2 linked regions of the Drosophila melanogaster genome follow. The protein of the gene in region 1 interacts with the protein of each later gene in a pairwise test. Each region holds a gene or a part of one and is shown on either strand. Other genes may lie near its edges. The genes, in order: CG17139 and CG7069.

The links.
Region 2: the proteins of CG17139 (region 1) and CG7069 interact in a two-hybrid assay, tested with the Drosophila melanogaster proteins (one large-scale study listed by BioGRID).

The regions. Positions count from the first base shown.
Region 1 is NT_033779.5:10,836,822-10,852,923, forward strand, and holds CG17139 (uncharacterized protein), read right to left. Parts: upstream 8,844-16,102; 5' UTR 8,779-8,843; coding exon 8,288-8,778; intron 8,216-8,287; coding exon 7,985-8,215; intron 7,930-7,984; coding exon 7,629-7,929; 3' UTR 7,472-7,628; coding exon of another isoform or gene 6,918-7,471; intron 6,850-6,917; coding exon of another isoform or gene 6,619-6,849; intron 6,561-6,618; coding exon of another isoform or gene 6,260-6,560; 3' UTR 6,193-6,259; downstream 1-6,192. Other genes in the region: CG6700 (uncharacterized protein), read right to left, coding at 2,495-2,648, 2,712-2,919, 2,980-3,184, 3,240-3,975, 4,046-5,367; CG17140 (uncharacterized protein), read right to left, coding at 6,260-6,560, 6,619-6,849, 6,918-7,471; Porin2, read right to left, coding at 9,067-9,397, 9,461-9,685, 9,752-10,077; porin, read right to left, coding at 11,047-11,347, 11,420-11,647, 11,723-12,042; SmydA-3 (SET and MYND domain containing, arthropod-specific, member 3), read left to right, coding at 15,697-16,064.
Region 2 is NT_033777.3:22,366,856-22,382,762, forward strand, and holds CG7069 (uncharacterized protein), read left to right. Parts: upstream 1-5,979; 5' UTR 5,980-6,158; intron 6,159-6,210; 5' UTR 6,211-6,381; coding exon 6,382-8,616; 3' UTR 8,617-8,724; downstream 8,725-15,907. Other genes in the region: Polr3F (RNA polymerase III subunit F), read right to left, coding at 1-299; PyK (pyruvate kinase), read left to right, coding at 2,669-2,710, 3,923-5,312, 5,371-5,527, 5,614-5,626; CG18596 (uncharacterized protein), read left to right, coding at 9,180-10,349, 10,406-11,055, 11,114-11,299, 11,362-11,925, 11,989-12,510, 12,579-12,749, 12,811-12,958; CG34149 (uncharacterized protein), read left to right, coding at 13,312-13,346, 13,401-14,283; CG43342 (uncharacterized protein), read left to right, coding at 14,574-14,669, 14,730-15,176; Gpdh3 (Glycerol-3-phosphate dehydrogenase 3), read left to right, coding at 15,370-15,413, 15,475-15,649, 15,708-15,907.

The sequences.
Region 1 (16,102 bases):
CGGGATTCATTGTCGGGAATGAGTTAATTTACTCACTAATTTGATGGATTTATAAGCCTTTTATATAAAAAGGGTTAATGTTAAATGAATTTATTTTATTACATTTATAGTTTGGTAAACTTGTTCGTATGCATTCAAAATATTTAAATATAATGTGGAACATAAATGGAGTCCAACTGATTTTATTTGTTAATTACATCTTTCTTTTTGTTAATAAAAAATTTGTGTTTCTCTTTTTGTTTAGTTCTTTATCCAACTAGGTTTTTTGGTAACGATCATATCCGTAAAAAGATCTGAAAATCTAATTAATAATTTTGAATTTGCAATACATTTGTATTATTTTCGTTGTGTCGAAAATGGATTTAATGGTAATGGATATTTAAAGCAAATAAAATTAAGTGGCTTAAAATATGAAATTCATAATATTTGAACTGAACGATTTATATTTGTACGCATACCTTTTCAAAAACTATATTCTTGTAATTAAATAGATTAATTTATGGTAACTATTAACAGTAGTTTATTACACAAAGAAATAAATATTTCTCTCCACTCTTCTTTCGGTCACTTCACTGACAATAAGATTTAAGGACTCTTTTTGAATTTCAGTTTCTTTTGATTATCTCTGTGTGGTCCTTCGATTTCAGTTTTCAGCGCGATCCAAAGAACTCGAACGCCGCGCGTTGACTGAAGCTAAGGCCGCAACGCAGCATCCTTAAATAGCGGCTGAACCTTCGCCAGCATCCTTTGGATGTTGTTGAAAGCTCGGCTGACACACTACAACAAGCTCTAAATGGCGTGGGTCCTGGCTAAAGCTCCCGCGATTCGTCAGCAGCTGGAAGAGGATTGTTGGAATAACGACCTTGTGCTGAAAGGGAAATTTCACCAAGAGGAAAACACCAGTTGCTTTGTTTTGTGGCGTTTATTGTTAAAAGCGGGATAATAGCACTCCCATTTCATGCAATCGGGATGCCATTGTTTGCATCCATAGATAGGGGAGCTTTTGAAATCTTGAATTCTTTTCAATAGTTTTCCAACATTCAAGAAAATTAAAAATATATTAACAGTTAAGCTTAGCCTAAAAATATACCTATAATCCTAGCCTTTTATATAATTACTGTTTAATATAATAGTTAGGATTCTAATCACACTCCCTCTAATAAAAATAAAAAAAAAAACACTGATTACAGATTCTTAGCCAATTACTTATGTGGTACCCCGAAGTGTCCAACTTTTTGTATACAATCTGCTTTAGTAAAGCGAATTAAAATTGGAAGAGCTTACAAATGTCGTGCATATTTGATGACTTGTTGAATGCCTTCACGGATGTTTAGTGGCGACGGGGAAGACCAGGTTGAATTTGCCATACTCCAAAACGTTGAGTTTGAACTTCCGATAATTTTGCATGCAGGCTGGATCTCGTTGCAGTTGTAGTTCGTGGTGGTGGTGGATTTGATGGTTGTATATATATACAGGTATACAATAGAGAGACAGAACATTAGTATAATCCTTTTCAATAATTTAAATAAGACAACAATCATTAAGCCTAAGCTTAAAACTAGTTTAAAAATGAAGTGATCATACGGTGTATAAATGAGTAAAATAACGACAAAAAAACAAAAATGCTTTCTCTGCCCAAAGCCTACGGGCTTTTCGGGTTCCGTGATCGCTTCTGATTTTGTTTATCTGCATGTGTTAGTTTTGATAAAGTTCATATTTAGTAAGGTTGTTATTCAAGAGGGTCGCAACCCTATTTGGAATTGATTCACTTAATTCTTGACCTGAATAATATATTCATTGAAAGGTCACGCACTTAAGGTTTCAGGTTGCTGTTGAATTCAGACGAGTTTTGATTTGCGGATCTTGCTCGATTTTGGTGGTATACAAAAAAAGTATACAAAGATGGTTGAGTTTTTAAAGAGGTAATGAAGACCAACGCTGTCACAAATTTTCAGCACACCGCGCCAAATGATAAGGTCCAATGTTAAAATTATTTCAGACGGCATACATTTTTCCACCTTTGTTAATCCTGGAAAAAGGTATTCGTCGCTGAATCCATGTTGAATTTAATCCATATGAATCCTTCCATGTAATGTCATTTCCAGAGTATGGCATCATCGATAATAATGTACGCCTTCTAAAATCCAAGGCTACTCCAGAGCAAATCTTCAACATTGTTTTCAATGTTTCCTGTGATGCATTCTATATCATTTTTCGTTGAATTATTTTCCATCTAAAAACTTTAAACCCTACGAAGAACAGTTGGTCCTAAATAAGCGAAGACTTCAGCCTAAGAATGGGAGTAATTCAAGTCCTAACTTTGTAACGAAAGGGAATCGCGATCTAGAGAAATATATACACAAATTTTTAAACAGGGCCAAGAGAGTTGCATCCGCAGTCCGAAAAAGGACACTAACATCCGAAAAGCTCGGAAATCAGGTACAAAATCGAATAGGGCTTCATGCCAGCTAGTCTGCTCTATATGAAGTGTGATTCAAATAGCAATAGCAGCTGCATTTTTGCAATCAACTTGCGCACCATCGGCGGCATATGGCAAACTGAAAGTGTCGAGCCATTCCTTGCACTTTTCTGAGCTATCGAAAGCCAGAATTTTGGTAATATAGTCAACGCTAATGTTAGGACGATAACTGAAAAGAAACAAATGATTATTATTACTAATAATTAAAATTTAGTGGATATAATATACTTACGACTTAATAATGACTCGCAATGCAGCTTTGCGCTCTCTCTCCAGGAACCATTCAATCATGTGGCCGGACATAAGAGGCGCCGTCCTGTACAGGGAAAACAATTTGCAGTAGTTGCCCAGCGACCACGCAGATCGGAACTGAAGAGCGTGCGCAATGACAGGATTTTCACGTTGATCAGCCGTAATCGAACGCATGACAGTGGTGATGTCTGGAAACCATAAGCTGTGTTAATTTTAATCGAAAATATATGAAACAAAGTCAACCATACCCAGAGTATTCTTTGTGAAAATGTAGTAGAGTATGCGATAGGCGGTGAACTCGAGGGCATTGGCGTTTTTACCACCGATCTCCATGTACAGCATCTTAAGTTGCGTCTGGCACTGATTGAACTCCTCGTGGTCACCCTTCTCCATGGCAATGCGTGCGTGTGTCTCGTACACCTCAACCGTAAACTGATCACGAATACCCTGGACCTGTGAGTACATTTGTGTTAACACTATTTCATATCTTTACTCGGCGCATACTTACAGTCAAATCCTGCCTTATGGACTTAAGCTGATCACACGCGTAGTGATAATCCTGATTGGCACGCCATTTTCCTTTCACATTAACAAGCGAATGGGTGAGCACCTCGACAGGTCGCACCTCTGACGGAGACGGCGCCTTTGTAAGACGCAAAAATGACTTTTCTAGATCCCTACAAGTTCCTACAATGTGTAAATCGAGAAGATCTATACCGCTAGCCGCCTCTGTGTCTTCGTAGAAAGCTGACCGTTGGTGCTGCTGGTGTTGCTGCACCATTTTCTTCTTGTTCTTGGCCGTGGTGAGACCAAACGGTGAGCTTGCAATGGCGACGACCGATTTTTTGGCCGAGCTGGAGCCCTGCTGTGAGAATCGTGCCGCACGCTGTTGCAAGCGCGCTGTGTCATCATCAACGGCACCGCCAACAGACGACTGATTGGAGTAAAAGTGAGGTGTGTCCTTTTTTTTCATCTGTGCTGAGGCCATAGCAGCTGCGCGCTTGCCCTTCTTCATCAGCATTTTTTGCTGCTTGCGGGATAAATTCGCGGTGAGTGGTATGAAATTCAGAGATTCGTTCGAGCCCGATTTGCGAATAATCTTACGCGCCGGTGGACTGCTGGCATCGCTACTGCGGGAACACGATCGGGAGCGGGGGGATCGCGAACGGGAACGCGAACGAGAGCGCGAACGCGAGTACCGCTTCTTGCTCGAGTACTTTAACGAGTTTGAAGATGACGGCGACCTGCGAACGATATAAACATCCTGGTTTATGACACAGTTTCAATTCGATCAATAGAGATCATAAAACTCACCGCGACCGACTCCTGGAGTACTTGGACGACGAAGAGTGATGAGAACCGTAGCTGGACGAGGCCTTGTTGAACTGATTGCCCTTCTGCTTGAACTGATTCACTATACCCGTGGAACCTTTGGCAGGTGACTTATCCGCTTCGCGGTCTCTCTCTCGCTCCCTCTCCTGTTCTTGCTTCTTCTGAAAGTAGTTGCTTCGCTGCTGCTGCGGCGGTGGCACATTGCTTAGCACCACATCAATGCCGTCTCTCTCGCTGTACACCGTCGGCATGGGCTCGTTATCCCAATCGCGTGTCCACAGCTCGTTGCGATTGGCCGCCGCTATAATCTTGCCTTTCAGACATATGTCGATCTGATCCTTATCCAGATCAGTGTTGCACTTTGAATAGCAACGAGCAACATATTGGTTGAGGGAATTCGGCCAGGAGTCGCTTGAAGCCATTTGAAAACTGTTTGGCCGCTTAAAATTTGATGTTTGGGATGTAGCCTCTCCCGCTCTTTGTGCTGCCATGTGCTCCTGCTGCTGCTGCTTCTGGTGTTGGGGATTCTCTGTGGGTGCCACAATGGCCAGGGGTAATGGAGGTGGTGGTTTGCTCAAGTCCGGATTAATTGGTACACCTACATCGCTGGCGCTAATGATGGGCGGCGGTGGAGCTTGGGGTGTGGCTGGGGTTTGATTGGCAAACGGATTGCTGTATGTTGATTGCTCAAAGTTCTTGTTTTTGTTATTCCGCTTGCGCTTCTTTTTGTTGCTGTTGTTGTTATTGTACAATTGCATGACCTGTTGCTGTTGTTGATGTTGTTGTTGTTGATGCTGCTGCTGTTGTTGTTGCTGCAGGGGATTAGGAGCACCGGCCAAACGCTTTTGGTTTAAATTCAAATTAAAACGTATTCCCCCGAAATTTTTTTGCTGCTGCTGCTGCTGTTGTTGTTGTTGCTGCTGTTGTTGTTGTAATTGTTGTTGCTGTTGTTGTTGTTGTTGTTGTTTGTTTTGGCCAGGTGGCTGACCTATTTGCGGCGGAGGCGGAGGGGGCGGCCCTGAGGGCAGAGGCGGCGGTGCAGCCAACGCATTGCTGAAGCCCGGCGGCGCATTTGACGTACTGACCGTCGAGGTTACCTGCTGTTGCTGCTGCTGCTGGTAGCGTACGTAGTACTGGTAGTACTGCTGATACTGCTGCTGGTAAGCAGCATTTTGGTTGGCATACCAGGCGTAATTGCTCCACTGCTGGGCGAGCTGGGCGGGATTAGCGCTCTGCTGCTGCTGTTGCTGCATCTCCTGCAGCTGCGGAATAAGGGGCGGCGGAGCACTCATGGCATCTGACATGGTACTCCCACAATCTGCCTCTCTTGGTTCTTTGCTAATTTCTTTTTTACCTGAACTTACCTTTGGGTTTTTGCGATTTCGGCCCCTGATTTCATGACAAAGGGTACCAAAAATGGGAAAAATGTGCGCATTAGTCTGTGTGTATGGGTGTGTGTGTGAATGTTGGCATGTGACGCCATTTTTATTTCTTACCTACTTCTTGGTCACCGAGAACTGGCACTTTTTGCTTCGATTTGCTCGTTTGAAACGCCGTTTTCTCCAAAATAACTTATTAAAAAGGTGGCGCAGTGCAAAAATATATCTGCATACGCACGAAAACACTCGGAATACGCTATTTTTTGCCTTATTTTCTCACGATATATAAACACGTCCGAACAGTTGAACTATTTTTTCGTATAAAGAAAAGGAGACAGAATAATCGATGACTAGATATGTCGCAGTGCTAGTGTGGCCGTAGCTTGCTGAGCCGAAAATCCATTCCTATAATTTAAAAGATGCGCGCCATAATAGCGGAGGAATTGTGGAATATGGAACATGTGAACGTTTTCTATTTATTTATTTCTTCGTTTTTTGGACGTGGATTTAAAAAAATAAAAAATCTAAGTATCTATGTACGATTTAAGGATTTACGATGTAATTAAAAATGGAATTGTCGTTAATTTCAAATCGATTTTTAATATTAAGACTGTTGTAGAACAATAAAACATTAAAATATAAGGTACAATACGCTGCAGTATTCAGATTCCATTAATTAAAAATAAGTTTTACTTAGTTTACTTACGGAAACCACCAAAATCATGATCAGATAAGTTAGAAAAACACTTTGTATACAAATTATTTATTTATATTAATCATGTATAGTAAAATCATAGTACATAGTAAACCATTCTTTTCAACAGTGAAAACCCCAGGAAACGCCAATCCTATGGGCTCCACCAATGGGATCTACTCCATCGAAGGCCAAGTGATAGCCAACATCGATGTTCTCCCCAATCTTTGATTGGTAGACGAACCCCATTCTGGAGTCCTCCCGCAGCTTGGCCTTCACCATGGTGCCATTCTGGAAGTCGTACTGAACCCCAATGGCAAACTGTTTCACATTTTCCGAACTGTAGAGATTCGTCTTGATGGCAAAGGCCCAGGCTTCGCCGATCCTTTGGAAGATCGAGCCTCGAAGATCCTCGAAATTCTCGCTACAAGTAAAATATAATGGGATGTTGGCTATATTAAATAAGCTATTGGACAACCTACAGTTTTAGACCCACTTCGGTCCTCCCATTATTGTAGCCCAGGCACAGGGCGTGCTTATCGAATCCCTTTTCGTCAAAGTTGTACTCCGTTCGATATCCCAGCACCCAATTCTCTACAGGCGCCACCAGGACATAGCCCAGAAATAGGGGTTCGTTGTACAGAGGCACCACCAGTTCCACCTTCACGGGATCGCGCTCCAACCCGCACTTCAGCTTCGTTTGAAAGCTCACTCTTCAGGGTTTAATTTGCATAGTTTTTAATGCTGTTAAGAAAATTCTGAAAAAATGGAGGACACTCACTCGTCTTTTGTGCCAATTGTTGACTTGAGCAGTCCATACAATCGACTGCCAAAGTTCATGCCGCGCACAGCGATCTCCGAGAGAAGATCATTGTTGGTGAACCAGCCGAGGGACGTGCTGTAGTTGCCCACTTCCTTGAACACCTCCATGCCGCCAAATACGTTCTTCATGGTGGGATAGCCCTCGCCGAAGGTGTTCAGATAGAAGTCATTATCGGTTCGCGTGCTGCAGTGCATCTGCCATGCGCCGATCTTGAAGCCATTGATGAGGCAATCCTTCGCCAAGGCGCCCACATGGAAGTAGGTGGGCATTTCGCCCTCTGACGTTGGCGAGGGTATTATCTCCACTTCGACTTCCTTGGGTGGCTTTTCGGGCTCTTCCTGCTTAGGTGGCTCCTGCTTGGAGGCATCCTGCTTAGTTTTCTTCTGTTTGCTTGGCTCCTGCTTAGGTGGCTCCGGCTGCTCCTTATTCGCATCACTGGCCACTGTAGTGGGCCGTGCGCGCATTTTGTTCCGGCGAAACAAGTTGCGCAGCCGTTGCTTCATATTTGTCATTTTGAAAATACTTTAAAAAAATAGCAAAAATAAATAGGTATAAATTTAAAATTTTGATTAAACGATCTGACACCGGAAACATAAACTTCTGATTTGTTTTTCAGTTTCTCCCCATCATGACATAGAAATGAATACAAACGTATGTTTGCTAGCCATCCTACATATTGAAGTACCATGATGAGCCGAACTTGTGCTTCCCATTGATGGGATCACTTCCTTCGAAGCCAACGTGGAACAGAACTTCGATGTCTTCGCGAAGTTTTTTCTGAAAGATAAGCCCGATGCGGGAATCTCCACGCACTTTGGCCTTCAGCATGCTTCCAGGTTCCCACTCGTACTGACCTCCAATGGAGACACTCTTGGCACTCACGTTTCCATACAGGTTGGCCTTCAAAGCCACTGCCCACTTTTCACCAATGCGCTGGAATATTGATCCTCGCAGCGCCTTGAAATTCTCACTGAAATATATAAATGTAGTTTTTTGCGGGTTGGAGGATGTTGGTTGTAACCTACAATTTCAGTCCGACTTCTGTGACATCGTTACTATATCCTCCGCAAAAAGCATGCATATTGAAGTCCCTATCCTCCACATTGAACACCGTGCGGTAGCCCAAGAGGTAATTCTTGACAGGCTGCATCATAATGTAGCCCATCAATAAGGGTTCCTTATAGATGGGAATATACATTTCCACTTTGCCAGGATTGCGATCGAATCCACACTTCAGCTTGCATTGAAACTTGCGTCTGTAAAGAATAATATGTACTTACGAAAGATAATCTCTTGAATCCCTTCCAGCAAATTCGAATCCCACTTACCCTTCAGGGTAGCTGACCATAGACTTCAATACAGTGGACCATGTGCCGCCCAGCCCATCACCATGCACTCCAAGATCCGATAGCAAGTCTCCATCCGACAACCAGGCGAGGGATGCATGAAAGTTTCCACTCTCCTTGTACGCCTCCAGTCCGCCGTAGACAGTGTTCCATGTTGGATAACCCTCGCCGAAGCTGCTCAAATAGAAATCCTTTTCGGTTTTCGAGGTGCACTGCAGCTTCCAGCGGCCAATGGTGTAGCCGTGGATGAGGCACATCTTGGCCAGCAGACCAACGTGGAAATAGCTGGGCATCTCACCCTCCATCGGTGGTGGCGGCAGCATCTCCACCTTGTTCTCCTCCTTATCTTCTTCTGCACTCCGGTTGTCCTGGACATTGCCACCACCTTCATCGTGGGGTTCCAGGTAATCCGATGCAGCCCGCTTTCGCTTGTTCCTTCTGAACAAGTTCCGTATCCGTTCTCTCATGGGCATTGTGCCATATAAAAAGTACAATAATTAAAAGAAAAATTTAATTAAACACACTTGAAATTTTGGAGTTCTTTGGAAATTGGATAATAATATCGAAGCAGCTGTGATCAAAATTAACAAGATTATTTACTTTTAATTTGTAATATTTTACAGCCTGTATTTAAGCTGCTTAATTAATTACTCAGATTGTTATATTGCCATTATGAAGAACAAAATATATTTGTCATTTGAATAAAGATAAACTTAAAAATAAATTTAGAAATTGAAATCGTTAAGTGATTGGCAGTCATTTTAGCACTGGAGGGCAATTCCCACGCCGAACCGATGGTTTCCGTCCTTAAAGTTGTTGCAATCCAGCACGGCGGATATGGAGGCGGTGATGCCGTCGCGCAGTTTCTGTTCATAGCCCAGGCCCAGCTCCACCAGGTTGTTGACCTTGGCGCGTACGAGGGCATCCTCCTCCAAGTGGTAGATCATGCCCAGATTGACGACCACATCTCCGCCCTGCTGTTCACCCTCGGCAGCTTCGCCGCCGCCGGCTCCCTTGGTTACCTCGATACCGGCATCGATCTTCTCGCTCGCCTTGTAGAACAGCGAGGCCAACCAGGTGTCGCCGTTCTTCCTGCAAATTGATTAAAAGACATAAGATAAAGTCTTCCCACATCTCGTCACACGGGGAACTTACAGCTCGCCATGGAGGGTGGCAGTTTCATTTGTCCAACCAAGGGCCACCTTCCAGCCCTTGAGTTCGGTGTTGCCAACGTCAAATTCGGTGCCCACGCCGCCGAGGAACTCCTTGTGGCCCACAACCAGCGAACAGTTGAGTATCGGCTCCGAGTTCAGTCCAATGTCGGCCAGGAAGTTAAAGTTGTCCTGGGCATAGCCCATCTTGAACTTGCCATCCGCCTCACTGTTGACCCGAGATGTTTATATAATTAAAGGATGCTACCTAAACGATCCCCAAAGGAATACGCACTTTGATCCCGGCTGAAACTTGGCCTCGACGGCCAACATCAGGCCCTGTGCCAACTTATCCCGGTGCATAATCTCACCGAAGAGCCAGTTCTCCGTGTTCCATCGCTCGGTTAGGGTCAGGCCTTGGTCCTCGATCTTGTACTTGCTCTGAAGCGAGCCGGTCACCTTGCTGTTGTCCTGGCTGGCGAAGCCGGTGGTGAAGAACTCAATCCCCGAATTGGTCAGGGTCTTGCAGTCGATCTGCCAGATGCCCGGATGGTAGCCGCGCTTGAAGAGATCGCGGGCCAGCTTGCCCAGATCTGGGTATGTCGGTGTTTTGGCGGCCATTACGGGCTGTATGAATAGGTGGTATGGTATATATGGCCCGACTAATTTCGAAATTTTTTGTCTACTTTTCAACAGCCTCGATTAGCCGAAAATTTATGTCTAACGCTGCCTGATCAGTATCGAGTTTTATACACGCTGGAGACCTGTGAACTAAAACGCACGGAGTCCTGTGCCCAACCGAAAAAGTTAAGTTTTTCAAGCACAAAGAACTTGGGATCAGTATAAGGTACTTATCTTATTATACAGTTTTTTCTTTCAAGCTTAAATCCTTAAATTAAGCTAACCATTCCCAAGCCTTCCACCACCAACGCTGCAATCAAGATAATTTATTTCTTCTCGATTTATTTCTCAGGTAAATGCACAACGAAAAGGTAAAGATTGTTATTAAGGATGTGATTTTGGTGTTATGTGTGTCCTAGTTTCGCCGCAGGATTTTGCAGGCAATCCGTAAAGCCTTGAGAACTGAAAAAAATGCAATGCCTTTTGAGCCATAATATTCCGTCTTTTCCATTTTGTTTTTTTTTTTCGTTTAATAGGTAAATGTATTTTTACTGCACTTTTGTCAACAACAATTTCGCTAATATTCAATGCACTAATCAAAGCTACATCCAACGACGACGGACTGACCTGACCGACCCATCGATTGCACCACCCATCCATCCCCCTGCATCGTTTGTTTGGCAGTGTCTCTCCTGCAGATTCGCGTGGCTGGGGCAGGGAATGGGCGGATGTGGTGATGGCCGGCTGACAACTAATCCAATCCAATCGAATCGCTAAGATGTGCAGATTCTCTTTATATTTGACTGTGTGTTGTTTGTTTTTAAAGAATATCGTATCTTTTATTTTGTTTGATCTTGTTGTTGTTTCTGCACTTGTCTGGCTGCTGTTATTGTTGTTGTTGTTGTTGTTGGGCGTGTGGGGATGTTAGACAACGTTCAAGGATTTCACGACTAGCGGAAAACCACGGACTTAGGCCTCCAGCTCCAGACCCACACCGATCTTGTGGCCGCCGGCATTGAAGTTCTTGCCATCGACCAGCGTGGACAGGGTCAGGGTGACTCCGTCGCGCAACTTCTGCTGGTAGCCCAGACCCACCTGGCTGGCGTTGTTCACCTTAGCGCGCACGCTGGCATCATCATCCAGCTGATACTTGGCGCCGATGGCGAACTTGGTGTTGCTGGTGCCGCTGGCCCACGACAGCTGTACACCCACATCCAGCTTGTCCGAAGTGCGTTGGAAGATCGAGCCGCTGAACTCCTGGCCATCGTTGCTAAACACCGGACAAGGCAATCATTAGTTTGCATTGATTTCATTTGCCATGCGTGGCAATTGCAATACTTACACAGCTGTGTGCAGAACAAAGTCCTTGGTGGTGTAGCCAAGGGCAAAGTTGTTGGTGGTCAGCTTGGACTGTTGTGTGTCAAATGCGGTCTGGTAGCCGGCCAACCATCCCTGGTAGCCAAGCACGGCAGAGGCATTGATCAAGGGGCCCTTCAGATCAATGTTCACATCCGAATCGGCCTTGACGTTCTCATGGCCGTAGGCAACCTTGAACTTGCCGTTCTTGTTTCTGACGATTTTTAATTAAATATGCAATATTAATTATTCTGCAGTGAACATATATGTAATAACATGTGATCCTTACCCAGACTGAGGAGCAAAGTTGCCCTCCAGGGACAGCTTCAGACCCTCGAGGAGCTGATCCTGGACAGCAACCTCGGTGAACAGCGTGTTGTCTGTGTTCCACTTCTCGGTGAGGGTCAGGCCGTAGTCCTTGACCTTGTACTTGGTCTCCAGGGAGCCGAAGACCTTTCCAGACTCCTGGTTGGAGTGTCCGGCTGTGTTGAACTCAATGCCCGACGAGGTCTTAGTCTTCAGATCGAGCTTCCACAGGCCAAAGTTGTAGCCTTTGCTGAAGATGTCGCGAGCCTGTTTGCCCAAATCGCTGTATGATGGAGGAGCCATCTGGAATGGATTGAAATGGAATGCATTAAATCGCACCTTCAATTAGTTGGTGAATAATCGATAATCATGACGATGATACTTATTGCGAAATCATTTCACTCGCCAGGTCATTAATTGCGTTTAGCGAACGATAAGTTTAATCTTATCAGCAACATAATGATTATTACTTTTTGCTCGACTTGATTTCAAAATGTTCTATCGGCCGCAAATGAAAAGTGAAAACTAAAAGACGCCAAAAAACAGCATCAACATGTCCCAAGAATTTCGAGGGCTTTTTCCCCATTTTCACTTTGGCTAAATGTCAATTTTGTGCGGCGAAAATAAAGAAATCAATTTAGATTAGTGTTCAAGGCGGCCACATGCAAAGAATCACCAACTGAAGCAGCGAAAATTCTGAGTGACTGAGGAGGGGGTCAATGCACGTCTGGGCAAAATAAAGTGGCGCAAAAAATAGAAGCGAAGATAGAAAACAAATAGTGACTAAGTCTATTTTACTCCAAGAAATTAAGGGTTTTCTATACCAATGCAAAACCATTTAAATCAAAATTTATTTTTCAAATATTTTTATAGGTTTTTTAAACTAAAATTTTAATAAAAATACTGAGATTTTCCCTATTTATCTGGCCACAGGTTTGCCTCTCTCTATGTTTACGTTCCGTTCTTGCTGGCATTAATTGCTGGTCAGTTCAGTCCCGTTAGGCTAGCGATCATTGACTCAGAAGCTAACTGCACATTTGCAACGTCTGCTGTGGTCACTGCTTCGCTGTTTCTATTTGCGTGACGTCAGGAATGCGACTCACAGTCGCGGTAGGAATATTAGTCGCGGATAAATAAATTTCTATCCGATATTGAGCATAAAAAAAATCAAACAAAAATAACCCAAAACATCTAATTGAAATTATTATATAGATATAACAATATAAATATTTCATGTTGTGTTCGGGGGGATTGGTGGGGGGAAACTCAAGGCAATCAAGGCAGAAAATTATGAAAAGCAGCGGCCAGCAGACAAAAATCTTTATGGCCGGCAGCCAAACGTTAAATGGGATGGGCTCTTATTGTTCCGGAAGTCAGGTGATATAACCTGGTCACTAGATGCTGAAAATAATACTATCAGGTGGATGTCCCGGTGAAAATGAATCAGCATCTCGTTGACGATGACCTTGACAAGCAGATTATAAAGGGGGTGGTTGGGTGGATGTGCAGCTCATTTTTTCGACAGTTGCATAACAGCAGGGAAATCGATGAGGGAAAGTGGAAAGCTAAGTGAATAGCTGCCCGAAAAGGTGGTCTATTGATTTTCCAGGTGACGTCACTGCGAAAATACCACCCACAATCGCGAAGTGCACCCACCTCCTCACATGACCACAAACAAACAAAACGACGATAAAGAACGGTAAAGAGTGAAATCGAAAATGTTTATTGAGCGAGCTGCACGCTGGTGGATGGCAACATGACGATAACGAACGGAATTGATGCGACATGCGTTACGTAACGGAAATTCGCCAGGCACTTTTCCATCGATCTCTCTGCTTCTTTGCCCCCTTTTTTCGCCGGCAGCTGCTGCCAATGAACTGCGAAGGCATTGGTGTGCGTGGACTGTTCATGTGTGGATGTGTGTGTGACAGCTAACCGGCTTAATATCCCCTTTAAATTTCGGATTTATCAATTAATTATTGCGTGATTTGGTGATAAGAAGCTCGCCCATCGTCATCCAACAAAAAAGTGCTCAGCCCTTTTGCTTTTCGTTCATGCGCGTGTCTACTTGCAATTTTTTCATTTCGAGGTTATGAAATCACTGGCACCGAAAATCCTGATTTTCCTTCTACCCATAGGGGTATCCATCACATTTCACTGAATTTTGAGGGGGTTTACTCCTGAGCTACTTACTTTTGATGAGTTTTAGTTTGGTTAGAGTGTAATGCGAAACGCAGAGGAACAGAGACACCACGACAAACGTACACCAAAAAATTTTGTAATTCTGTGCCTTAGTGTTACCAACCCTAAAAATTCGTCCAATAATTATTCCCTAAAACAAGCCGCAGATATACTATCTGGTAACGCTGCGTCACTCTTAATGGCAATGGTCACACTTTTTGTAACGGAAATTTGAAAACTAACGGTTACTTAAAATAATTATTGAAATTAGAATTCAATCATTCTATTAAGAAATTCGTTATCTTAAGAACAATTAACTTACATCAAAGTGTTTTTTTTTTACATAAAAGGGTTTCCTGCAAACGAAAACTTTAAAGTTGTGGACAAGTAAATGGGCTTTAAAAAAGTTATAATCCAAAGCAATCAAAATGCAATAAATATATTACAACTTTATTGATTGACACCAATGAAGTGTGTGCGATGCTCTTTTTATTTTTAGACGAATCTGCGTGCAGGGCCGCCAATCGACCGCATAATCCCATTCGGATGGGCCAAAAGCGAGACCAGTGCATTTGCCGTGCGGCGACAGAATGTTGAAGGCCCGTCTGCAGGAGGACGCCGTGCTGGGACGCTGCTTGGCCACCTCTAGCTCCGTGGAGCGGGGCGAGCTGGTGCTGGAGGAGCTGCCCTTCGCACGCGGACCGAAGCGCGACAGCGGAATCGTGTGCCTGGGCTGCTACCAGTTCCTGCAGTTCGGAGAGGACGGCGATTCGCTGGACCGCTGCGAACTCTGCGATTGGCCGCTGTGCGGATCGTGCGCCGACGACGAAGACGTCACGGAGCACCGCGGAGAGTGCCAGGTCTTCTCCGCCGCACGTGTCACTTTCGCCGGGAATGTGAGCGATGATGGCGTCTGCCCGCAGTTGGATTGCATAACCATATTGAGGTTAGTTCGCGGGCGCTCCAGCGGGGCGGGGGTGATGGTGCTGGGTACATCCGTACAGCAGGGGCTACTGGGTGCTACTAGGGGAACCTGGGCGGTCTGTCCGAATATTAGTTTTGGCAGCAGCGGCCCATTTCTCGCAGTTCGCAGGCTAGCCGGCATATACAGATTCTCATGGCGACTCTACGTCAAAGAAGGCGGACGGATGGATTAACAAGTCTGTGAAAGGGACAGTGGAGCAAATCGCACAGAAAATAAAAAATAAATAGCTAAATTTAAAGTGCATGAAAGTAAGGAGAAAATTATGGCATGAAACAAGCCATATTTGTACATATTATTATGACAGAATAATTGGTATATGATAGTTGCGGCGCGTTATGATCAATGTACCATCATGTTTTTATATATTTCGTAGCAAAACTGAACTGTAAGCACTGTGAATTATTATTTAAATAATGTTAAGCACATGTTTAAATAGATCGGTGCTTAGTACTTAGAAATAGAACTAACAAAGCCAAGCAACTTAAAAGTTACAAGCAACTTAAAAGTTACAAGCAACTTAAAAGTTACAACCAGTAAATTATTTAATTTATGAAAATGTAAGGTATTTTAGTTATTATAGAAATTGAACAATGTTTTCTCAAGACAATTTGTTCAAAACTAAAATTTCTCACCTAGGACCTCGCATGCCCACTGTGCCCAGCAATTTTGATGCTTTATGTCGGAGCAGGCAGAAATGTAGTCATGTAGTGGGGAGGAGGCATCATCTGTGGGGTGTGCCCATGACATGAGATCTGAGATCTGAGTGCGGCCAGCCGGCATCAGTCAGCGAAATGACATCGCCGCCAACGCTGTCGGTGAATAGGACAGCGGTTCAGTGGAGTCCGGTCTGCGGACGCTATCTGGTGGCCAAGGGAGCGATCCGTGGCCACGGTCTGCTGATCGAGGAGCTGCCCTTTGCCGTCGGGCCCAAGTGCAATGGACCGGTGGTGTGCCTGGGTTGCTACGAACCCAACCCAGATCCGGAGGAGGAGCTGTGTAGCGAATGTGGCTGGCCGCTGTGCGTGGAGTGCGCCCAACAAGCGGATAACGCCCATTTCCGCCTGGAGTGCAGCCAGCTGAAGGATGCTCGGGCACGATTCTTCCGCCTGCCCAGCGGCAGCAGGCACTGTCCGCAATTGGACTGTATTATGCCGCTCAGGTGAAGCCCAGCGGGTGGAACAAAAATAGACCACCAGG
Region 2 (15,907 bases), on another chromosome or scaffold:
ATATCCCTAATCCAGATGCCTTTGTTGCCGCCCTCCTCAACAATGCCGTAGACGACCTTCTCCTCATTGTCCGCATCCTTGGGCAGGGCACTCTTCTTTTCCGGGTCCTTGGCACGGTACACCAGCTTTTCACCCTTCTTCAGGATCTCGATCCCGCCCTCCTGCAGCAGTATATTCAAAGCTTCCACCCGCGTGGCCGCCGGCACATCGGGCAGCGCCTTGGTCAGGTCATCGTTGGTGGCACCGGCTGGGATGCCCTGGACCACCGCCAGCAAAAGTTGCGACACCTCAGTGGCCATTTTTCTATTCTCGAAAATTTGTTATTTAAAATTCAATTAAATCGAGAAAAACAACACGCTTACCGTGAAAAGCAAAACAAAAACAAACGGTTCCGGGCGAATGGCTACCGCTGCTAAGAAGAAGCTAAAAAATAACAAAAATCACAAACCAATTTTAAAAATATAAGTTTGTTCTATTAAAAATAATACTTTACGCAACTGAATAAATGAGGATAAATAAGGAGCATATGTTTTAGGCTTTATTACAAATTGCTTTAAATAAAATTTAAAGCTTTCCGAAGACCCCAAATGTTATATCGTGAATCTGGTATGTATATACCAAATGGTATTTATTTTAAAAACGAGTGGCTTTTTTAGGCTCATTGGTGCCAACTGTTTTTTCGAACAGATCGCCGGACGCACTGTTTCTGATTGGAGTGTTCGCTGCCTGTGCATTTAAATTGAATTAAAATAATTCCAAAACAGGAAGAGCAAATACATCTTTCCGCGAGTTCACCTTTACTGTCAAAAACAGGTAATTATCAGATCTTCTTGATACGACCTCAAGCTAAACATCATTCCATTATAATACGCTAGAAATTTTGCTAACGAAATTGGCGGGGGCAAGACATTTGTTTTTGCTGTTGTTGATGATGCAAGCAATTTCTCCACATTATGTAGAATTGCGTTTGCCGCCTCACAAAACACATACACACAAGCACGGCTGCGAATTCAATTCGCACACCCATACAATCTCAAAAGAACCTCGTTAGCGAAATGTGTAAAGGTGAAATAGAAGTCATTCCATGCGGAGCGCGCCACAAGTAAAATAACCTACACCATCGCAATCACACCCTATTAAACATGCCATCGGAAATAATGCAGCAATAATAATCTTGAACCGCTGTAAACTTCCACTATCGCAATTGTTTAATTGCTCTGTGACGACGACGCTTTCAGCGATGATGAGTAATTTTGCATAAATTTGCTCTGTGCCGGATTGTCTGAATTATATTTGAAATTTTGTTGCTGTTTCGGCGTCTCAGTGATAAGCATTTGTTGTTGCAGACCCGAGCTTCAAAATGTTAACGGCGCTAACGTCCTTTATCCACAAGTTCAAGGTTAAATAGTACGGCACATAGTACTCATTACATATTGACTGAAGCCTGGAAAAGCACTTTCACTTTCAGAACTTTTCTCGTGCGTTTTCCGGCGACAAAAGCTGCAGGCCGGCGAGCTTTACTTGCACGGTTTCTGCGCGTGTCACTCACGATGAGCGAAAGAGAGAGCGGAAGATAAAAGGAAAGTAGATGCTCACGCACTTGCATAATGGCAGTGCGAGCGAGACGAAGCTGTTTTCTGTGGAGGAGATTAGGTTGTCAAGGTCAGCACAGTGGAATTCTAGGTGGAAGTGGGACAGTTGGACAGTGGGCTCTTTTCCGCGTTGCTTTTTTTCTGTATTGCCAGCTGATAAGCGCCGTCTAACAGCTGATGATCGGTTTTTTGTTTACCACGCACACACATACTGACATCACGTGTCCATATAATCATATATACACATACTTCTGTACAATGCAAATTTATATGCAAAAATTAATAATCGTAATGGATCGTTGAACCTTCTGTTCTATCCGATTGCCGGCCAGCCTAGCAACGGAGCTTTGCGCCAGTTAACTTCGGAGCTTCCTTTTTGGATAAACTTTTCGCATCCCCTTACGCGAAGGGAGTTAGGGTATGTTGGCACAATAGCATATCTTGATCCTGCTAAACACTTTACTTATACTTAAATATCGAATGATAATTTGAGCCTCTATCTTTTCCATTTGATAATATCTTTATTAATTTTTATATGCAGTATTGTAAGATTAAGGTTATATTTCACTCGGAATTATATTGGGAATAGCGGTAAGGCCACTTGGTCGACTGAGCAGCTGGCAGTCCCTGGTCGAGCATACCCTTGAATATACCCTTCTTGCTCGCTCACCAATGTTGTCTCTTTAGGGGTGGCCTGTTGCGTCCGCCTCTTGCCTCTTGGGCCCAAACTCTCTCTCCTCTGCGTTTATGCTCTCTTTGCTGTCGGGCTACCGACATTCTGAGCGCTTTTTCTGCGGCTAGGAAAATTTCCGCTTGCCAAAAAATCTGTGTGGCAGTCGAACTTTTTGTCTCGTCCTCGCCGCGTCCGATTTTCCATATATCCCGATTTTCGTCTCAAACTTGGAAGATATATTGCCAAAATATTGCATTCGGCTAGCCGCTGCGTTGTGTGTGTTGTTGTGCGTGGAGTTGCGTGTGCAGTTGCAAGAAGATATAGTCGTCTATATCGTCAGACCGATCTCGATCCCAAGTGCGATTCCCGTTGGTTACATACTACCCGTTCGGTAGGCAACAAAATGGTGAACGTAACCATCTACGATGAGGCACCGCAGCTGAAGGTAGGCCAATGTCACGGTAATGGAAGCCCCCAGAGTTGGTCCATAAAGATATTCATAATCGCCATAATCAGTTGGCTGGCGAGTTGGCCCGATATCAGAGTCATTGGGGAGGAAAATGTGGGAAAAGACAATTATGCAACTGCAGCTGAGAAAATTCTGTCGGTCGCGGTCGGCAGAACTGACCTTCGGCGGTGCAGATGTGCAGCGCTGCCGGTGTCGGCTTCGCTGCACACTTTTCTTCCGCCTGCTGCTTTCTCTCTGCCACTCTCTCTTCCGCTCTGCCTTTCTCAGGTCCTCTCTACGGGGGACACCCCTAACCACCCACGCCCATCCACTCAAGCACTTCAAGTACACGCACTTTGTTTACATCAGCGAATTCTGCAGCGACAGCTTTGCGTTTTTCAAAACATAACATGCACAGTGCGAATAAATATTTTGATAATTTAAGCAATCGTAAGAGTTAACAAATAGTATTTAACGCAACAGCATCATTTAATATTGGTAATCGATTATAACATTTTATATGTCAAGTTTTATCAATGGCTTATTTACACATGCTACTAAGTACCATCAGAATGATAAAATACTGTTAATATATAACGTTATCATTTTAATTAGGATTATTAGATTATTTAAAATCATTACCTTTATATGTAAATAGCTCTATTTTATCTGTCAGTTCACAAATATTTCAATCATTCCTTTTGGTCATGAAAAATGATTGGTGCGGCGAGCATTTGGGCTTAAATCGCCGTATTTGGCCCGTTTGGTTCTATTTATAAGCCGGTGGTAAACATTTAATTTGGTCGATAAAAACTGTATCGATTTATATTCGTTGATATGAAGAAGGGTTATCATGAGTTTTGCACGCATTCGCCACGTTTATGTTGGGGTCCTAAATGTGTTTCGCATTGCATGACTTCACCAGGGCATGATTTTAATATCATAAAACTAGTTGGTTTTTTTATTTTTTGCTAGAACTTGGTAGTTTTTAAAACGCGTAGGGTTTCTTGTTGCTAGGAAGAGACTTCTGATTATTAGCGTAAATTGGAAATAAATGCTTAAAATCAATAAACACGACTTTAACCTGTTTTATTGCAAAAGTTGGCAATCAGCGTGTTGATTTCTAAAAATAAAGAATCAATTCGCGCTGTTTATAAATATGAAGAGAAATGAAAACAAACAGAATTAAGTATAGTTTTCATTTTGCAGCCCAACGAAGTACCCCAAAACATGGCCGCAGGAGCTGATACCCAACTGGAGCACATGTGCCGTCTGCAGTTCGACTCGCCAGTGCCCCATGTGCGTCTGTCCGGAATCGTGTGCACCATCGGACCTGCCTCCAGCAGCGTGGAGATGCTGGAGAAGATGATGGCCACCGGCATGAACATCGCGCGCATGAACTTCTCTCACGGATCGCACGAGTACCATGCCGCCACCGTGGCCAATGTGCGCCAGGCGGTGAAGAACTACTCGGCCAAGCTGGGCTACGAACACCCCGTGGCCATTGCCCTGGACACCAAGGGGCCCGAGATCCGTACCGGTCTGATCGGAGGCAGCGGCACCGCCGAGATTGAGCTGAAGAAGGGCGAGAAGATCAAGCTGACCACCAACAAGGAATTCCTGGAGAAGGGCTCTCTGGAGATTGTGTACGTGGACTACGAGAACATTGTCAATGTGGTGAAGCCCGGCAACCGGGTGTTCGTCGATGACGGTCTGATCTCACTGATTGTCCGCGAGGTAGGCAAGGATTCCCTCACCTGCGAGGTGGAGAACGGCGGCTCTCTGGGTTCCCGCAAGGGTGTGAACCTGCCAGGCGTGCCCGTCGATCTGCCTGCCGTCTCCGAGAAGGATAAGAGCGATCTGCTGTTCGGTGTGGAGCAGGAAGTGGACATGATCTTTGCTTCGTTCATCCGCAACGCCGCTGCTTTGACCGAGATCCGTAAGGTTCTTGGCGAGAAGGGCAAGAACATCAAGATCATTTCCAAGATCGAGAACCAGCAGGGCATGCACAACCTGGACGAGATCATCGAGGCCGGTGATGGCATTATGGTGGCCCGTGGAGATCTGGGTATTGAGATTCCCGCCGAGAAGGTGTTCCTCGCCCAGAAGGCCATGATTGCCCGCTGCAACAAGGCTGGCAAGCCTGTGATCTGCGCCACTCAGATGTTGGAGTCAATGGTGAAGAAGCCACGTCCCACTCGCGCTGAGATCTCTGATGTGGCCAACGCTGTGCTCGATGGTGCTGATTGCGTCATGTTGTCTGGTGAGACCGCCAAGGGCGAGTACCCGCTGGAGTGCGTCCTGACCATGGCCAAGACCTGCAAGGAGGCCGAGGCTGCCCTCTGGCACCAGAACCTCTTTAACGACTTGGTTCGCGGCGCTGGTACCATCGATGCCTCTCACGCGGCTGCCATCGCTGCCGTTGAGGCTGCCACCAAGGCCAAGGCCTCCGCCATCGTGGTGATCACCACCAGCGGCAAGTCGGCCTTCCAGGTGAGCAAGTACCGCCCACGCTGCCCCATCATCGCGGTCACCCGTTTCGCGCAGACCGCCCGACAGGCCCATCTCTACCGTGGACTGGTGCCACTCATCTACAAGGGTAGGTTTTTGTTTCTCCAGGTCGTTCTTTAAATTATAACTCTGGCTTGTACTTGCAGAGCCCGGTCTTGGTGACTGGCTGAAGGACGTGGACGTGCGCGTGCAGTTCGGTCTGCAGGTCGGAAAGAAGAACGGCTTCATCAAGACCGGCGATTCCGTCGTGGTGGTTACCGGCTGGAAGCAGGGCTCCGGCTTCACCAACACCATCCGCATTGTGTAAGTTTAAATTCTAGCATGTAGATATATATGTATCTGTGCAAAAATTATATCAACAAAACTAACGCAATTATCTATCATTTCAGCACCGTCGAATAAATTCTGCCGCTCAGGAAGTACCTGGATGCGTCGCAGCTGCCGCGGGCGTCGCGTTGATTACTGTTAATAACCAAGTTAATTTATTAATTACACAATATTCGGAATATTGGAAACTGCAGGAGGCTGCTGGAACCGCTGTCAGAAGCGCCGAAGGCCGGCCCGGGCCTCAAACAGACACACAAATATACTATACCATTGTTGAATAATAGAGATTTCTTCGAAAATTATAATAAAGTCATCACTGTATTTATGTACGTATGGAAAGTAATGTGCCATTTTCTCCTTATACTTGGAACCTTTGGGTATTAGGTCTGCATGTACGAGATCCACATCCAGTTCCCTATAGGCAATTGATTTTATTCGTTTTTGACAGGTAACACTACATTTTATTTTTGTTTCGGTGTATCAAAATTTATTCAAAATTCATCCATACGCAAGAATCCTTAGTCCAGGGTCCACAGTGCCCATATGTTCCACTTGCCTGTTAAACCTAAGATATCGCTGCTATGCCAGCAAATGCAAGAAAGAGAAGGTAGGACGTTGTTACGTTGGGAGTCAATCATCCGCTTATGAATTCTTTCCAGAAACCACCGAAGTTCCGACTGGACCGCGGACCATTCGCCTCCCAGTTGGATTACCAGTCGCGACTGCAGTACCAAGCACCTGCCCTGAGTATCCCCCTCAGCAGCATCATATGCACCATTGGACCCTCATCCAACAGCCCAGAAAAGCTATTGGAGCTCATCCGGGCTGGGATGCGGGTCGTGCGTATGAACTTCTCTCACGGCTCTCACGAGTATCACTGCCAGACAATACAGGCGGCTCGTAAGGCCATCGCCATGTACGTGGAGCAAACGGGTCTGCCCAGAACATTGGCAATTGCTCTGGACACCAAGGGTCCAGAGATCCGGACGGGCAAACTGGCCGGTGGCAATGATAGGGCTGAGATAGAGCTCAAGACCGGAGACAAAGTGACATTGAGCACCAAGAAGGAGATGGCAGACAAGAGTAACAAGGATAATATCTATGTGGATTATCAGAGGCTACCTCAACTGGTCAAACCAGGAAATCGGGTATTTGTAGACGACGGATTGATTGCATTGATCGTGAAGGAATCAAAGGGAGATGAAGTGATCTGTCAGGTGGAGAACGGTGGCAAGCTGGGCTCCCACAAGGGAATCAATTTGCCAGGAGTTCCGGTAGATCTTCCCAGCGTAACGGAGAAGGATAAGCAGGATCTTAAATTTGGGGCCGAGCAAAAGGTGGACATGATCTTCGCATCGTTCATACGAGACGCAAATGCTCTGAAGGAAATCCGCCAAGTACTTGGACCGGCTGGAGCGTGTATAAAGATCATCTCTAAGATTGAAAACCACCAAGGTCTGGTAAACATAGACGACATTATCCGTGAATCAGATGGCATAATGGTGGCCCGAGGTGATATGGGCATTGAGATACCCACGGAGGATGTTCCCCTAGCCCAGAAATCGATTGTGGCTAAGTGCAACAAGGTGGGCAAGCCTGTGATCTGTGCCACCCAGATGATGGAGTCGATGACGAACAAGCCGCGACCCACTCGTGCCGAAGCCTCGGATGTGGCCAACGCTATTTTCGATGGCTGCGATGCCGTAATGCTGTCCGGTGAAACGGCCAAGGGCAAGTATCCGGTGGAGTGCGTCCAGTGCATGGCCAGGATCTGTGCCAAAGTAGAAGCAGTTCTATGGTACGAAAGCCTGCAGAACAGCCTTAAAAGGGAAATCCGGACCAGTGCTGCCGACCACATTTCGGCAGTTACCACGGCGATCGCGGAGGCGGCCACGGTGGGCCAAGCCCGGGCAATTGTGGTGGCCAGTCCGTGCTCCATGGTGGCCCAAATGGTCAGTCACATGAGGCCGCCATGTCCAATTGTCATGCTCACGGGTAACGAATCCGAGGCGGCCCAGTCTCTGCTCTTTCGCGGCATCTACCCACTCCTCGTTGAGGAAATGGTTATTGGCAGCTTTAACTTTCGACGCATCATGCAGTCGGGCCTGAAGCTGATGGGCAAGATGGACATCTTGGAGCCGGGTCAGAAAGGATCGGTGGTGCTGGTTAATGCCATGTCGGCAGAAAAGATCACCTTCCGGCTGTTCACTATCCGTCAGCAGACCAAGGAAGAACGCGATCAGGATGAGCGATGCCGAAAATTGGCCCTAGAGCAGAGCTGCAAGGAGAGGGCTGAAAAGGAGGAATGCAGAAAGCTCCAGCAAGCGGAAGAATGTCAGAAGCAAAAACTGGCCAAAAAATGTAAACAGTTCGAAGAGAAGCAAAAGGTCTGCCCCAAAAAGAATGATACTCCGAAGAATGATTGTCCGAAGAAAGATTGTCCGAAGAAAGAATGTCCCAAGCAAGATGACGAAATCTCAAAGTGCAGGCAAATGCAAGAAGCGGAAGCTGAAGAAAGGAAGTGCAAAGAAGAGTTTGAACAGATGTGCAAATTAGCTGAAGAAAAAAGGAAAGAAGCTGAAAAATGCAGGAAAGCGGACGAAGAACGAAGGAAAGAGGAAGCTGAAAAGTGCAGGAAATTGGAAGAAGATAGGAAATGCAAATTGGCTGAAGAGAAGAAAAGGAATGAAGAAGAACTTAAGATAATAGAAGCAGAAGTGGCCAAACTGGAAGCTGCTGAGAAGGCCAAGCGTTTGAAGGAGGAAGAGAAAAAGAAGGAAGAACTAATGAAGTGCAAGCAACGAAATGAAGCGAAAAAAAAGAGGGAAGAGGCTGAAAGGTGCAAGAGAAAGGAAAGAGAAAGGGAGCTAGCTGAAATGGAAAACAAATGGAAACAGGTTGCGGAGAAAAGAAAGAGAAAGAAGGCAGCAGAGATGTGCAGGAAAATAGAGGATGCAAAAGAAAAAGCCGCGGCAGAATCGGCTGATAAGATTCTGAAAGCTGTGTGCGAAAAACTAAAGCAATCTCTCTCGGATCCGGACAAATCAAAAAAGGGCAAGAAATAAAGTGAAAGCTAATGGCAGATTTATATGGAACATTTTAACTTTTAATACGGTGTTACACACCGAATTCCAAATTATTATATAAAACTATTGGAATTTTTTAAATTTTCTAGTAAAACAATGTAAAGAACGCTATTGTCGAGTTATTTGACTATAGGCGCGAACGGAAAATTTTCAAATTTGGGCATATCGATAAATATTGGAAAATACACATTTGCTTATCGGTTCTTTGAAAAGTAATAATTTCATACCTGCTAACCAAATTAAACTATGTCATTATGCACGTTCACACCTCCACTGATAAGATCGAAGTCATTGTAATCATTGGACATCACCTCTAAAAGTCATATTTTATAGAGTCAACTTTTCGAAATTAATCGCCTACAATTGATTTCACCACATGATGAAGATAATGAAATATTCGATATTAATCGTATGCAAGTGATTTCACCACATGATGAGGAATGGCGAAATTCTAATTCTCCCAGCTGCTTGATGTTGACAGTATTTAAACCAAACAAAGGGTTAGTTTAGAGGGTTCTTCATCGCGAGAAAAAGGTACTACCATGTCATTGCCCACGACCAGAGCCACCACGGCCACGACCACTCACGCTGTGGTCCAGGCTGTGGAAACGTATATTCAGAACCAGAATTTGCTTGGCGAGATCGCTGAGCTGGACGACATGCTGTACGATTTGGTGTCCATGCACAAAGACAACGAGCTGGCCCTGAAGCGTGTGCTGCAGTGCATCCACAACCTGTTGCAGACGAACAGCAAGTATAACGTCCGCTTTGGCCCAAAAGTTTTTCACAAACTGGTCTCCGTGGTGATTGCCGACAGTCGTGAGGATTCGGCCAGCCGGCGTCAACTGGTGGCCAATTTACTGGTCTGCGTGCAGCTTCATATACGGAAGTTTCCGCGTATCGAAGCCAAGTTCGTGCTGCAGCAGCTCTGGTCGCTGAGTCAGAGCAATGAGCGGCAACCACATGCGGCCCAGATCCTGGTACACCTTTTCGATGATTTCGTCAACAACTTGGGAACGGAATGCGCCCAGGAACTGCTTGTGCTAACGCGGAATCTTCTACAGTCTGATGTGCGCGATGATCGACGCTCAGCGTATTTTCTTATGCACAAGCTGCAGGAGATCGACGAAGTGCTTGCCGCTCTCCAGTGCAGTGAGGTTCAGTGGAGCGCGTATGTGGGCATCATGGAGAACCTCGAGGAGCAGCAGTCCCATCTTGTGCTGCCCACTTTAAGCACCCTGCTGCCGCGCATGGGCCTGATGTCTAACAATTTGAGTGAGGATTGGCTGGATTGGCTAAGGATTCTGTGCATACGCCTCCTGGGCGACAACAACATCCTCGTGTTGCGCTGGACCCTGAAGTACTTCCTATCCCATTTTAGCCTAGAACAGATATCGCGTTTCAATCTTCTAACACAATTCCTTGCTGCTACCAATCGGACGCAATTGTACAATCCAGAGGTGCCCGATTGCCTCACTAAGCAGCAAATAACTGATTTTAGTGCACAATTCCCGGCAGAGATATTGCTGGAAGCGCTTGTCTGCGTTCCGTGGCATGCAGTTCCCCTGATCCACTGGCTTCAAGCATGGGAGCTAAAGCAGCTGCCGGTGGTTTCCAAGGAGCTGCTGTTTAAGTTGGGCGCTCGCGTTCGTTCCCTCCAAAATCCGGTTTTGCGTGGTGAAGCCATCAATTATGTGATTTTCTCCTTAAGTGTAAGTTTAACTTATATAGAAGTTTTAACAATTTTTTGACTTTAATCCCATTAAAGGCGACGATTGACAGCCTGTCATTGGGAGATTACCTCCTCTTCATGGAGTCTTTGTACAATACCATCGACCGGTATCAATCTCATTCACAACTAGCACAGAAAATAAGAAATTGCAGCAATTTAGAAAAACATATTGCTAGTTTCAACATTCGTTGCTGTGAACTTGTATCTCAAATGGACTATAAACACGATGTATTTGTTGCGTTCTTGGAGAAATTACGAACAGTTCCAAAATCCAAACATGGCTGGTGGCGACTTTTACCCATATTTCTGCATCGGGAACTGGATCATCCAGAACAGTATTTAGATTTCTATCGCTCTGTCTATGATTTAGATACATCTTTTCTTGAAAGTGGTGTGAGTCTAGAGCAGATGCAGCAGCACCTTCTTAATCGATTGGATTGCCAGACCAGAGAAGAGAAGTCCTTTGTGCTCGAGCACTCTGTGGATCTTTTCGTACAGATAAATCTTCCAACGTGGAGCAAGTTAGAAGTACTTAACCTAAATCCCCTGGAACTTTTGGATCGGGGTACTGAAGAAACATTTGCCACCTTGTCGAATATATTGTCCACGCATGATGAACAATTGGCTGACCAAAATGTATTGCCCGCCTTTATATCCCGTTTGGGAAAACTAAAGGTCAGGGAAACGTGAGTAATATATTCGCTATATTTTTGTAAGTCAAGTTATTAATTCATTGATTCCCAGACAAGCCATCCTAAAATATGCAGTGCAAAATCTTTCGTCAGAAGAGTATGAAAAGTGCGTAGTGGACGTTTTGGAGAAAAACACCTTTCTTTTGGGTACAATGGACTGTGAAGAATATATTAAGGCACCCACCTCGTTTGTTATAAAAAGAATGCTGCAGGGAGAAACCACTACTGGCGATGCACGGCAAGAGAATAAATATTTTTTTCGTGAAATTACTATATACAACGTTAATAATAACTCCGCAGCATTGAACGCGCATTTGAGCAAATCTCGGATACTGGAGCCATGGATCGTGTGCAATTTATTCAATATGCGAAGAACAGCACTGGTTTGGATATCAGCTTCATCTGTGACGATTTGCTTAGAATGAACAATGAGCTGTCCAGAAAAAAACCACGCTATTTTGCAAACTGCAAAGAGCACAGAATGAAAATGCGAATAGGCAAAGCTTTGCTCGACCTAAGCGACAGATGGAAGTGGTCGGACAACCTGTGGGAAGCCGTCTTGTGCCCTAGCGATCAGCCTAACATTAGCTTTATGTACGAGTACCTTGTCTCCAAAATGCTGCCAAGCATCGATCTATTGCTGGAGCAGTTAAAGCTACTGGCAACTCTAAAACCGAGCCAGCAAATTTCGCTTGTCTCTGTAGTCCACATATACTGCTTGACTCGCTGGGAAAGCATACAACATGAACAGCTTGTCGAAGTATTTGCCGTCCTGTTGCCTCTCACAATGGGAGCAAATTTTCAGACTCGTTTGCTGGCCCAATTGGTTTTGCATCGGATTTGTAGCGAGTGCGAGGATCGAAGGTAATGAAATTAGTATTATATACTACTTGTTGCCGAATTTTATTAATATTTTGATATTTTTAGCATTCAAATGCCAATAGCTGATGCATTGAAGAAATCCATCAAGGTTACATTGAGCGAAAAATTAACTGAGTTTCAGTGCGAAGCTCGACTTTTGTTACCAGAACTAGGCAAACAATGCCCGACATCCGTTTCGGATTGCATTCTGATGATGACGAATGCACCATTTGATGAAAACATCAGTTTTATTAGTTGTTCCTATGACTTTCGAATGAAACTAAAGCGCGCCCTTGAAACGTTTAAACGGAAACAATCGGTTTTGATACCTGAGCTTGCAACGTCCTTGGCTGCATTAAACGGAAATGTGCAGCGAAAAATGAATCCCGTCGGAGATATATATCCGGAGAGTGACTTTGTTGTTTCGAACAAAGCTAGAGATGACCACGAACTCATTGTGGTGGCCTCGCTCATAGACAAATTGCCAAATCTGGGCGGATTGGCGCGTACCTGTGAAGTTCTGGGCGTTAATACCCTAATATTGGGTTTAAAATCACAGGCGGAGAAAAGCGATTTTACAAACTTGAGGTATGCACGTCAAACATCGCGGTAGCCCTATTATATTGCTTTATATAATTATAATTATATTATTTTAGCATGACTGCTGAGAAAACTTTAAACATACTTGAAGTGAATCCAGAATCGCTTGCTGGATTTCTGCTGGAAAAGCAAATGGAGGGTTATAAAATCGTTGGCGCCGAGCAAACTGCACACAGCACAAACTTTGTTGACTTTAAGTTTCCCAAGAAAAGCATTCTTCTTTTGGGGTTCGTAATCAACATCTTGGGCGTATTTTTTGAAAACTTATTGTTCTGCATCCCTCCTCAGGCATGAAAAACATGGAATACCAGCGAACCTTATTGGATTCTTGGACTACGCCGTCGAAATTCCCCAGTATGGCTTAGTGCGCTCTCTAAATGTACATGTGGCTGGATCACTATTTATTTGGGAATATTGTAAGCAGCACTTAAATTAAATTCATAATTTGACCACCAACAAATGCCTTTAACAAATAAAGTAAATACCTAAAAATATTGTACAAATGTTACTATATAAATGTTTTGTGTTGTATATATCTTAAAAAAAATACACCCAAAATAAATTACCTATATAAACTTAATTGTACTAGCTATTAGTATTATTTCTATTTTTTTAAATGTGTTTGTTTGCCTTCGGTGAATTAATCGAAGTAAATATAATTCATTCTCTTAAAGTTTCGCGCCTTGTTATCGATAACCAGTATTTACCGATGACGCTTGCCTGAAACAGCTGATCCTATAATCACAACATCACAACAAACCCATTGTAAACAACTTCGAAAAGACGAAAATGAGCTTCTCGGAAAACACCTCCGATTCTGAATGGTAAGTCCTTGAGGCCGGAAACTCTCAAATTCTATACGAATGCTTCGCTTATAGGAAGACAGACAAAATGCTAAAGGCGCGGACTGCTAAGAAATCTTTAAAGCTGGACAAGGAGCACAGAACTCTGAAACCTAAATATAACCAGAAGTTCTGCGAAAAGTGGCTCAAGATTTTCGATCCATGGCTCCGACGGGCGGCCGAGGATCCTAACAAGCCATTCTGCCGCGCTTGCCAGTGCACCATGGACTGCAATCGATGCCACCTGGTGCGGCACGAGCGAACCACCAAGCACAAGCGCAATCTGGAGGCTCTGCTCACAAAGGGCGAAGGCGCGGCGGTCCAGGAGTTCCGGATTCGCCAGCAGCGTAGCAAGTACTATCACCAGCGTAAATTGGTAGTGATGGAGCCCTTGGCTGAGAACCACGAGTTGGAGCCGCCTTCCACTCCAGAGCCTATGCCCGTGATGGCCATTGCTGATCAAAGCCTCTGTTCTGCAGCCAGTGAGAAGGTGACAGTACCCAAACAGGAGTTCTTATCAGAGACAGAGGTCACAACAAAGATGACCGAACCCCCGTCAAGCCATGCCAATTGCAGTGACAGCTCCTCTTCTGCCTCTAAGCAGGAGGGCATAAAGTTACTAATGCAGATCCACCAGGACAAAAACGAACTCATGGAATCCTTCCGCGAGCTGATGGGAAGCCAGAGGACCCTAAGTCACACACCGCCGCCCAAGGAGAAGAATCATGTGGATCTGTTTTTCGAAAGCGTCAGTTCCAGCGTGAAAGCCCTCTCGCCAAAGTTGGTAGCGGAAGCCAAGATGCGAGTATCGCAGCTGATCTGTGAGCTCGAGCTTCGCGGCCTCAGTGAAACCAGCCAAACGGACGCACTGAATCCAAACCCTCAAGCTAATGAATCGCTCGCACTGCGCCCATCATGACAATCCCTTGTCCTTCAGCATGAATTTAGAGGCATACATTAATTTTAAATTTAAAAATAAATGTTATCGATTTTTATAAGATCAATGCAAATATACTTTATTTGTTAGATATACGAATCAAACTATTCAAAATAGGTGCGAGAAATGGTATCGGACTGTTTATCGATAGGCTAGAGGCTACTGCTACTGCCATCTCCAAAGCGCGGCTGTGTTTTCTTCCAATGTTTATTAAATTTGAAGCAGCTAATGCAATTTAAAGGCTTAAGTGACAAAATATTCATAACATAAGAATGTGGAACACTTCAAATGTGTATGATGAAACGACCTCTGAAAATGGCGACAACGAAGAGCAGAAAGCTTCATACATTAAAGAAGATCATATAGAGGTATAATTACTAAGTTGCCCTTAAATTTACAAATATTTAAACGAAATTATGCATTTGCAGACCGAGAGGAAAAGTTTGCTACTCATCAAACGGAACAACGTAGCCCTACAGAAAAGACAGCTACCCTACTCAAGGCCAACGCCGCAGAACCGCCAGGAACTTGTCGAGAGCATCGAACAAGACCGTAAAGTGCTGTCGGCGTACTTCAAAAGGTTGAGCTCCCAGCGAGATGAAGTCACTTCACCAAATGCAGCTCCACCGGCGGCTGATTCCCCTGTTCCTCAGAGAAACAGCTACGATCTTTTCTTTGAGAGCGCCTGCATCAGTGTCAAAGGCTTGCCACCCAAACTGGCGGCGGAAGCCAAGAGCCGCATCTCCCAGATAATCACCGAGTTCGAAATCCGCGCCATATCAGAAATGGAGGCCCAGCAGGAGCACAAAATGCGGGCCCAGAACAGAATGGATAATGCGTCCGGGGTTGTTTACGAGTTTCGTCCCTGCTCGTAAAGTAGGTTGGGTGTTTGCCTTTCAACTACCTTAACTCATCCTATACACTTCACATTTGGACGCCACCTAACTCTGGACTATCAAAATTCATAATAAAAATTTAAAGCATTCTACATCCAGTTAACACTTAGGCGGTCATTTGGTCGCGTTTCGGCCCTAAATTATTGTTGTTCGTTAATTTAAAGTTGGATCAATGGCCGGAAAGTTGAAAATATGCATCATTGGGGCTGAGGGCTGGTAAGTTCTTTCAATTACCAAGTCTAAAACACATTTAACTGCTTTCAAATGGCTTTTCTAGGGGCTCGGCCATTGCCGCCGTCGTGAGCAACAATGTCTTGGAGGGAGACTTCGACAGCCGGGTGCATTTATATGTCTACGATGAAATGATTCGGGACACTGCCCTATCGGAGATCATAAACACTCGTCACGAGAATGTCAAGTATCTGCCTGGGATCAAGCTGCCCAATAACCTGGTAAGGAAATTCTTGCAGTGTTTTGGTATCTGCATTATACAAAATATTTTTGTATTAGATCGCTGTAAATGATCTTTTGGAAGCTGCCCAGAACGCAGATATCTTGGTATTTTCCACCCCGCTGGAGTTCGTGCAATCCTACTGCAACATTCTGTCTGGTAATGTTAAGGAGTCGGCCTTTGCTGTTTCCATGACCAAAGGATTGTTGAGCGAGAATGGGGAGGGGATTGAGCTTGTTTCGCACGCCATTAGCGAGAG